Macaca mulatta: one gene and its partner. The main gene of each other region encodes a partner of the protein of the gene in region 2 in a complex. Links are inferred from orthologs where the notes say so. Each region holds a gene or a part of one and is shown on either strand. Other genes may lie near its edges. The genes, in order: SCARB2 and GBA1.

The links.
Region 1: the proteins of GBA1 (region 2) and SCARB2 are in contact, whole or in part, in a cryo-EM structure (PDB 9FJF), measured with the Homo sapiens proteins. The link is inferred for Macaca mulatta from reciprocal best matches to the Homo sapiens genes GBA1 and SCARB2. Residues at the interface, in NP_000148.2 of Homo sapiens: Leu130, Asn131, Ala134, Ile169, Glu190, Lys194, Leu195, Pro430, Arg434, Ile445, Thr446, Asp448; in NP_005497.1 of Homo sapiens: Lys161, Ala162, Tyr163, Gln164, Lys181, Glu183, Leu187, Phe191, Arg192.

What each region holds. Positions count from the first base shown.
Region 1 is NC_133410.1:57,640,028-57,643,847, reverse strand, and holds part of SCARB2 (lysosome membrane protein 2), read right to left. Parts: intron 2,790-3,820; coding exon 2,698-2,789; intron 2,169-2,697; coding exon 2,049-2,168; intron 575-2,048; coding exon 405-574; intron 1-404.
Region 2 is NC_133406.1:111,751,003-111,754,822, reverse strand, and holds part of GBA1 (lysosomal acid glucosylceramidase), read right to left. Parts: intron 2,695-3,820; exon of another isoform or gene 1,601-2,694; intron 1,355-1,600; exon of another isoform or gene 1,254-1,354; intron 941-1,253; exon of another isoform or gene 820-940; 5' UTR 772-819; coding exon 754-771; exon of another isoform or gene 753-753; intron 388-752; coding exon 300-387; intron 1-299. UniProt on the Homo sapiens protein: Glucosylceramidase that catalyzes, within the lysosomal compartment, the hydrolysis of glucosylceramides/GlcCers (such as beta-D-glucosyl-(1<->1')-N-acylsphing-4-enine) into free ceramides (such as N-acylsphing-4-enine) and glucose.

The DNA of each region.
Region 1 (3,820 bases), on a different chromosome or scaffold from region 2:
TAGTAAACATGAGCTATTATTACTGTTAAGACTTCTAAACCACTGTCCAGAAAAAAAACACGACATGGCATTCTAGAAATAAAAAGCATCACAGAAAAGCCAATAATTTTTTTTACCATTCAATAGCCATGTTATGAAACATTATTCTTGAAAGAAACTGATCTTTCTATTGGGCTGACAACATATTCTTTTCTGTTTGTTTTGTTTTTTAGAGATAGGGGTCTCACTATGTTGTCCAGGATGGACTTTAGAACTCCTGGGCTCAAGTGATCATCCCACCTCAGCATCCTTAGTAGCTGGTAGTGTAGGTGTGCGCCACTATGCCCAGCTACATATTCTTTGTTGAACTCCAATCCTTCTGCATTCTTGACACCCCTATCATACCCCCTCTCTTGAGTTCTTACCATTCTTGCAGATGCTGACATTCAGAACTCCTGAGCCCAGGCAGTTTCCCTCAGGTATACAGAAGCCAGCATTGTCTGACGTATTAGCTAATATTTCTGCAGGAACTTTATAGCGAAAGGCAGGCAGTCCCTGTACACTCTCATAGTCACTGAAAGTAATATACACTGACCTGTTAGGATGTAAGAATAAAAAGTGAATGTGGACTCTGGTCATTGTAATCTGCCCCAAATTCACAAGTTAGCAACAGTTCTCAGGTACAACGTGGCCAGAAGCTCATAGGGTAAGTAGAAAAGAATGTTTGGAAGGCATTCTGTCAGCTCAACGTGTAATAAAGCAGAAGATGAATTGTAGTGAAAGGTGTTTAAGTGGTAGCAATGGAGGTATTATCCAAACAAGAAAAAACAATATGTGGTAGAAAATTAAGATGATAACATTTAGAATGGAGACTCACATAAAAAATAAGAGGCCTCTAGACCTGCATGGACACATGCCAGTGCGGACGGGTCACCAGCAAAGCCAGGAAAACCAGGGCATGGCAGAGCCAAAGCTAAGGTAGAACAGGCAGCGATGGCTGTGGCCTTGTAGGGGCACTTGAAAAGTGTTACACTGAGCAGATATTTTATTAGAATATACACTTTGATATTCATTCCTTCCCCCCACCAAAAAAAAAAAAAAAAAAATCAGATTCCATGTTTTGCCCCAGTCATTTATTTAAATGGAGTTCAACGTAATTCTGCCTTTCATTCTTACTGATTTCAAACATGGTCCCGTGTAATATGACCACTGCTTACACTGCATAGTGCCTCACAGACCACTTCGATGTACAGTCACCAGTGAGCCTCAGGCCCTCCTGTGAAGGCTGGCCGGAATAGCCTTCTGGGCCTCACTTTTTCATCTCTGAACCAGAGCTGTTGATACATCTCTCGCAAGGTTATGAATAACATAGGTGGTTTCACTGCACGAACCACCCCCACAGCATTTTTTAATGAAATATTTTAGGCACCAGAAAGAGAAAAAATATTCTAACAAATACCTTTGTATCCGCCACTTAGACAAATAAAAATTATATTATGGATATAACCAAACCTATCTACATAATGCTCTTGATTCCATTCCGTCTCTGTCTCCCCTGAGGACACCACTCTCCTGAAATATGGACAATAGTATCCTCTATTTGGCTTCCATGTAGAGACAACCTATTGACTGGAAGTAGGCCAGGTCAATTTAAGCTTGACAGAGCATATCATAGTAACTAACAGCCAACACTTAATATTGGTTACTGTGTGACAAGCCCTGGGCTAAGTATTTTACTAATACTAACTCATTTGTCCTCATAACTTCTAACATAGTTAACAATTTCTATCTTTGTTTTACAAATGAGGAAAGTGAGGTACAGAGTGGTTAAGTAATTTGCCCAAGGTCACACAGCTATAAGTGGTACAGCTAAGATTCAAACCAACAGTCAGGAGTCTGTGCTGTGAACCAGTACACTATACTGTCTCGATGTGCCATCAGCATGTATCACTGATTAAGCATAAATATCCATGCATAATAAGTGTGTCTGCATATATTCCTCATGCTTTTAGTGGTCTTGCAGTGAAAGACCTTATTTTTAAAAAAGAACTTATCTTTAAAGCTTTTACCTGCAAAAATCAGATGGGAAGACATAAAGGACCTCATCTTTGGTTATTAGTGGGTGAAAAGAATCTCCATCTGTTCCATTAATCATATTGCACTTGTCTGTTATCCACCAGTCAAGTGACCTATAATTGATAAGCGCAAGAAAGAGTAAAGATGATCACATTTGAGTTTAGATTCTCTTAAACAGTCAGGACTTTGCAAGATTTAACTGGAGCTATCTACACACAGTGTCTTCTCCATACACAGACACAACAGTGTTAATTAGATCAAGGGGGAGAAAAAGTAGGTCCCTGGCCCCAAATCAGTTTTCATAGAGGCAATGGCCAAATAGCCCAAAACATGTGGTGGTCTGAAAAGTATTTGTGCTGTAGCTACTACACATCACTCAATGACTACTAAGCAAGAGTGGGAAGTTTCACTGGCCTGTAATTCATGCCTGGCCATGATAAATCTACAAATCACGAATATTTACTCTGTAAGATGTTTTACCACCACCTTGATTTGTAGAATAATAATTACAAGACTGTTTACATGTTTTTATATTTTTCATCCAAAAAAGGCTTAAACACATTTTTTAAACAATGTAGAAGTAGATATGTAGTTTAAATGAAAACTGAAAAAATAACTCCACTGATAAATCATTAGACTTACGTTTTCCCATTCCATTCCACAATCTTTGTAAAGTTAAGGTAATTGTCTTCTCCAGTTAGAAAAACATAGTCTCCATCATTAGTCCCATTTTTCTGAAAATACGTGAATACGATCATTTAAAGTAACTGCGATAATTTGATGACAACTTGGCTAGCCTATGGTGCTCAGTTGTTTGGTCAAACACTAGCCCAGATGGTGCGGTGAAGGTATTTTGTAGGTGTGATTAGTATCTACAATCAGTTAACTTTAAGCGAAGTTACCCTCAATGAGTGGCGGGGCCCCATCCAATCTGTTCAAAGCCTTACAAGCAAAAACAGAGGTTTCCTAGAGGAGGAATTCTCCCCAAGACTGCAACAGTGAAATTCTGCCTGGATTTCCAGGTTCCAGCCCGCCCTACAGATTTCAAACTCAAGACCACATCATCAACTTTTACCTGAGTTTCCAGCTGCTGGCATGCCCTATGGATTTCAGACTTACCAGCTCCCATAATCACATAAGCCAATTCCATAATATAAATTTCTTTCTCTCCCTCTTTCTCATCTCCATATACACACCCTCTTGATTCAGTTTCTCTGGCAACCCTAACTAATACAGTAACTAAAAAATTTAATCTTCATGAAACTGTCCTACTAGGGCCTAACTGCTACACAAGACTGAACCAGGACCAGAAAATAGTGACTATTTTGCTAAATACTATATTAACCATATTATTATTTTATGGTTTTAAAAAGTAGGAGCTCAATTTTAAAATGGGCAAAGGATTTGAAGAGACATTTCCCAAAAGAAAATATAATAATGGCCAAAAAGCACATAAAAACATGTTCAGCATCATTAGTTATTAGGGAATTGCAAATCAAAACCACAATGAGATACCACTTCACACCCACTAGGATGGCAATTAAAAAAAAAAAAAATAGTAAGCGTTGGTGAGGATGTGGAGAAATTGGAACCTTTATACACTGCTAGCAGGAATATAAAAATGTTGCCGTCACTGCAGAAAAGAGTTTGTCGGTTCCTAAAAAAATTAAACAGAATTCACAGGACTCCAAAATTCCACACCTATGTATATACTCAAGAGAATTCCACTTCAAGGTATATACCCAATGTTCATACAAAAGCCTGT
Region 2 (3,820 bases):
CACCTGTAATCCCAGCTACTCAGGAGGCTGAAACAAGAGAATCGCTTGAACCTGGGAGGTAGAGGTTGGAATGAGCCAAGATCACACCACTGCACTCCAGCCCAGGCAACAGAGTAAGACTCTGTCTCAAAAGAAAAAAAAAAAAACAAAATCCTCACCCCGAAGTTGGTCTCAGTCACTCAAAAGGATTTATTGAGCACCTATTAAAAGTCTACCACCAGAGTACTGGAAGGCTACCAAAGGACTACGAGGCAGAAGGGAGCCTCTGTGCTACCTCGCTACCGCCTTGACTCACTTACCTGATGCCCATGACACTGCCTGAAGTAGAAGCAATCCTGTGAGGCTGGCGGCCATGATGCTTACCCTACCCGAAGGCTTGGGACATTCCTGAGGACAGAATGAGGAGTGGCTGAAAAGCAAGCCCCTCTCCTTCCCTCAACTACTCTCCTGGGCAGAGTTTAGCTGCCTTTGGCTGCCCATGGCCTAGTCTCCCACATTCATTAGGACAAGGCCCACAGACACCTGGGTGCAGCTCTCCCTGCAATCTTTCTGATGACAACTCTCTGCCCACCCCAAATCAGGACGCTCCCCACCACTCTTCCCACCCATTTCAACTTCGACCCCTCCCTCCATCTGTGCCTTGCTCAAAGAGCCATGATGGCCCTGGATTCAAAGAGAGTCTGTCATTCACTGAATTCCAGTGCCAGGATTCCAGAAGCACTGTGACAATGCTGATTGGGAGCTCTCTCTTACCTTTCTGGAAAACTCCATCACCTCAGGGTCATTGGATGAGGAGAAGACCACAGGGGTCCAGAGTCTCTGAAGGATAGAGGATCCACTAAACAAAAACAAGGATGCAGGTACCTGCCGTAGCTATAGGCACTAGGTTAGCCCTGCAAGTAATTCCGGCTTCCTGACATGGATGGGTCATGTGATGACTGGGAGAGTCACATGACACAGGAAGTGAGGCAATTGCAGGCATATTTCTAAAGGGCAATTGGCTTCCTCCCATGTGTTACAGATTATATGCGCTATAAAACTCTGGAGGGCATGTATGGGTGACAACTTTAGGAAGAGCCTAGAACACAGATTTGGGTGGAGAATGAGGTAGAGGCTTCTAAATCCCAGAGAATGGGAACTAAGGCAGGCACACTGCTTTTTTGATAGAAATGTCAGAAAAGGTACAAATAAAGCTGATATGATTTAAAAAAAAAAAAAAAAAAAAAAAAACTTCACTGTGCAAAATACTGACAATACCGAGATGTTTAAGACACAGTCTTTGCCCTATAGAGGCGTGTGAGGCATGGAAGTCAGACACACAGATATTTACAGATAAAGACAGAAACGGTAACAGGTGTGCATGGAGAGCTCTCTGAGATGAGGAGGGACCATTCGTGGGTGGGGAATTATCTAGGGTGGCTTCACAGAGGAAAAAGTGAGGGGGCTTATTAGCCGGTCAAGTGCAGGGTGCAAGGAGGGTGGGACACCGGCAGTGGGATGACAGGACTGGAGGGAAGGAGTGGTTAGTGTGGCTCCTCTGCAGCGTCCTTTGTTTCATCATCAGATGCAGATGGTAATAACCGTTCTTCCTTTCTCACAGGACAGGGAGGTTTGTAAGTAGTTCAGAAACCAGAAAGTGTTGTACAAAGCCGTATCCTCAGTGGACACAAGGAGGAAGTTGTCGTGCTGTGGCCTCACGAACCACATCAAATGAGATTTAGCGGGAGTGGCACACACAGTCATGACCTGACTAACCCCAGCTCTCAGTCTATTTCCTTGCCTGGAAAATGGAGGCAATGCCACCACCTCAAAGGGTGGTTACTGCAGTCAGTGAGGTAAGTGCAGTGCCTGACCACTTGGTAGGCACCTGGGAACTACTTGTCTGCTGTTTGTATTTTTTTGTTGTTGTTGTTTTTTGAGGCAGAGTCTCGCTCTGTTGCCCAGGCTGGAGTGCAGTGGCATGATCTCGGCTCACTGCAACCTCCACCTCCTGGGTTCGAGTGATTCTCCTGCCTCAGCCTCCCAAGTAGCTGGGATTACAGGTGCCTGCCACCACGCTCAGCTAATTTTTTTATTTTTAGTAGAGATGGGGTTTCACTATGTTGACCAGGCTCGAACTCTGAACCGCAGGTGATCTGCCTGCCCTGGTATTCGAAAGTGCTAGGATTACAGGCATGAGCCACCGTGCTGGACCCCAGCCATCTTTTTTGTTCTTTAAATGACCTCAGTGAAATCTTTCTAGATACACCCCAAGCAAAATTGATCATTTCTTCTTCTAGGTTCCTCCAGTAATTTTTCTTTTCTTTTTTTTGGTTTTGAGACCGAGTCTTGTCCTGTTGCCCAGGCTGGAGTGCAGTGTGATCTCGGCTCACTGCAACCTCCACCTCCCTGATTCAAGCAATTGCCCTGCCTCAGCCTCCTGAGTAGCTGGGATTACAGGATCCCACCACCATGCCCAGCTAATTTTTGTATTTTTAGTAGAGATGGGGTTTCATCATGTTGGCCAGGCAGGTCTCGAATTCCTGACCTCAGGTGATCCACCAGCCTCAGCCTCCTAAGGTGCTGGAATTACAGCATGAGCCACCACACCCGGTCCCTCCAGTAATTAAGTACAGTCTTAGTGAGATGGCAAGGTTGGAATCCTGGCTACACCATTTACTGGCTGTTTGACCTTCAATAAATCAAGCACTCTAAGCCTCTGTTTCATCTATGAAAGGGGAGTGATAATTCCTACCTTAGAGAATTGTTGTTAAGTTTGAGTGTGATAATGTGTCTCTAGTGCACTGCTTGACACTAAACATCGCAACATGTTAGGCCTGTGTTCCTGGAGTTCCTTGAAGGAATGTCTTACTCATTCTAAATATCCTTGTAGACAGCCTGGCACAGGTGTGGCTGTCAAGTTGTAGAATTGAATTAGTTGCTTCACTCTATCAGTATCCACCCCTTCCAGACTTCTCACTTTTCAAGGAAATGCTGAACAGGATTTGTTCTGGGTAGGGCAATATCTAGTACCTTACTTCCCTCACGTTCATTCATCTCACAGATATTTCCTGAGCACATTCTACATTTGCCTCTCCTGCTCTATTGAGTTTAGAAGTCCAACCATCTCCTTCCTCTTTCCCTCTGAATAGTGAGCCTCTTCTTTTTTGGCCAGGTACTGAGCAATTTTTTGTTTGTTTGTTCGAGACAGGGTCTCCATAGGTTGCCCTGGATGGAGTGTAGTGGCTCGATTTCGGCTCAGTGCAACCTCTGCCTCTCGGACTCAAGTAATCCTCCCACCTCAGCCTCCAGAAGAGCTGGGACTATAAGCGGACATCACCACACCTGGCTAATTTCTGTATTTTTTGTAGAGACAGGGTCTTGCTGTGTTGTGCAGGTTGGTCTCAAACTCCTAAACTCAAAGGATCCTCCTGCCTTGGCTTCGCAAAGTGCTGGGATTACAGGGTGAGGCACTGCGCCCAGTCCGCTTTTCTTTCTTTTTTTTTTTTTTTTTGAGATGCAGTATCTCTCTGTCACCCAGGCTGGAGTGCAGTGGCACAATCTCAGCTCAGTGCAACCTCCGCCTCCTGGGTTCAAGCAATTCTCCTGCCTCAGCCTCCCAAGTAGCTGGGACTACAGGCCCCCGTCACCACGCCCAGCTAATTTTTTCTATTTTCAGTAGAGATGGGGTGTCACTGTGTTAGCCAGTATGGTCTGGACCTCCTGATTTCGTGATCTGCTGGCCTCGGCCTCCAAAGTGCTGGGATTGGCGCCTGTAGTCCCAGCTACTCGGGAGACTGAGGCAGGAGAATGGCGTAAACCTGGGAGGCGGAGCTTGCAG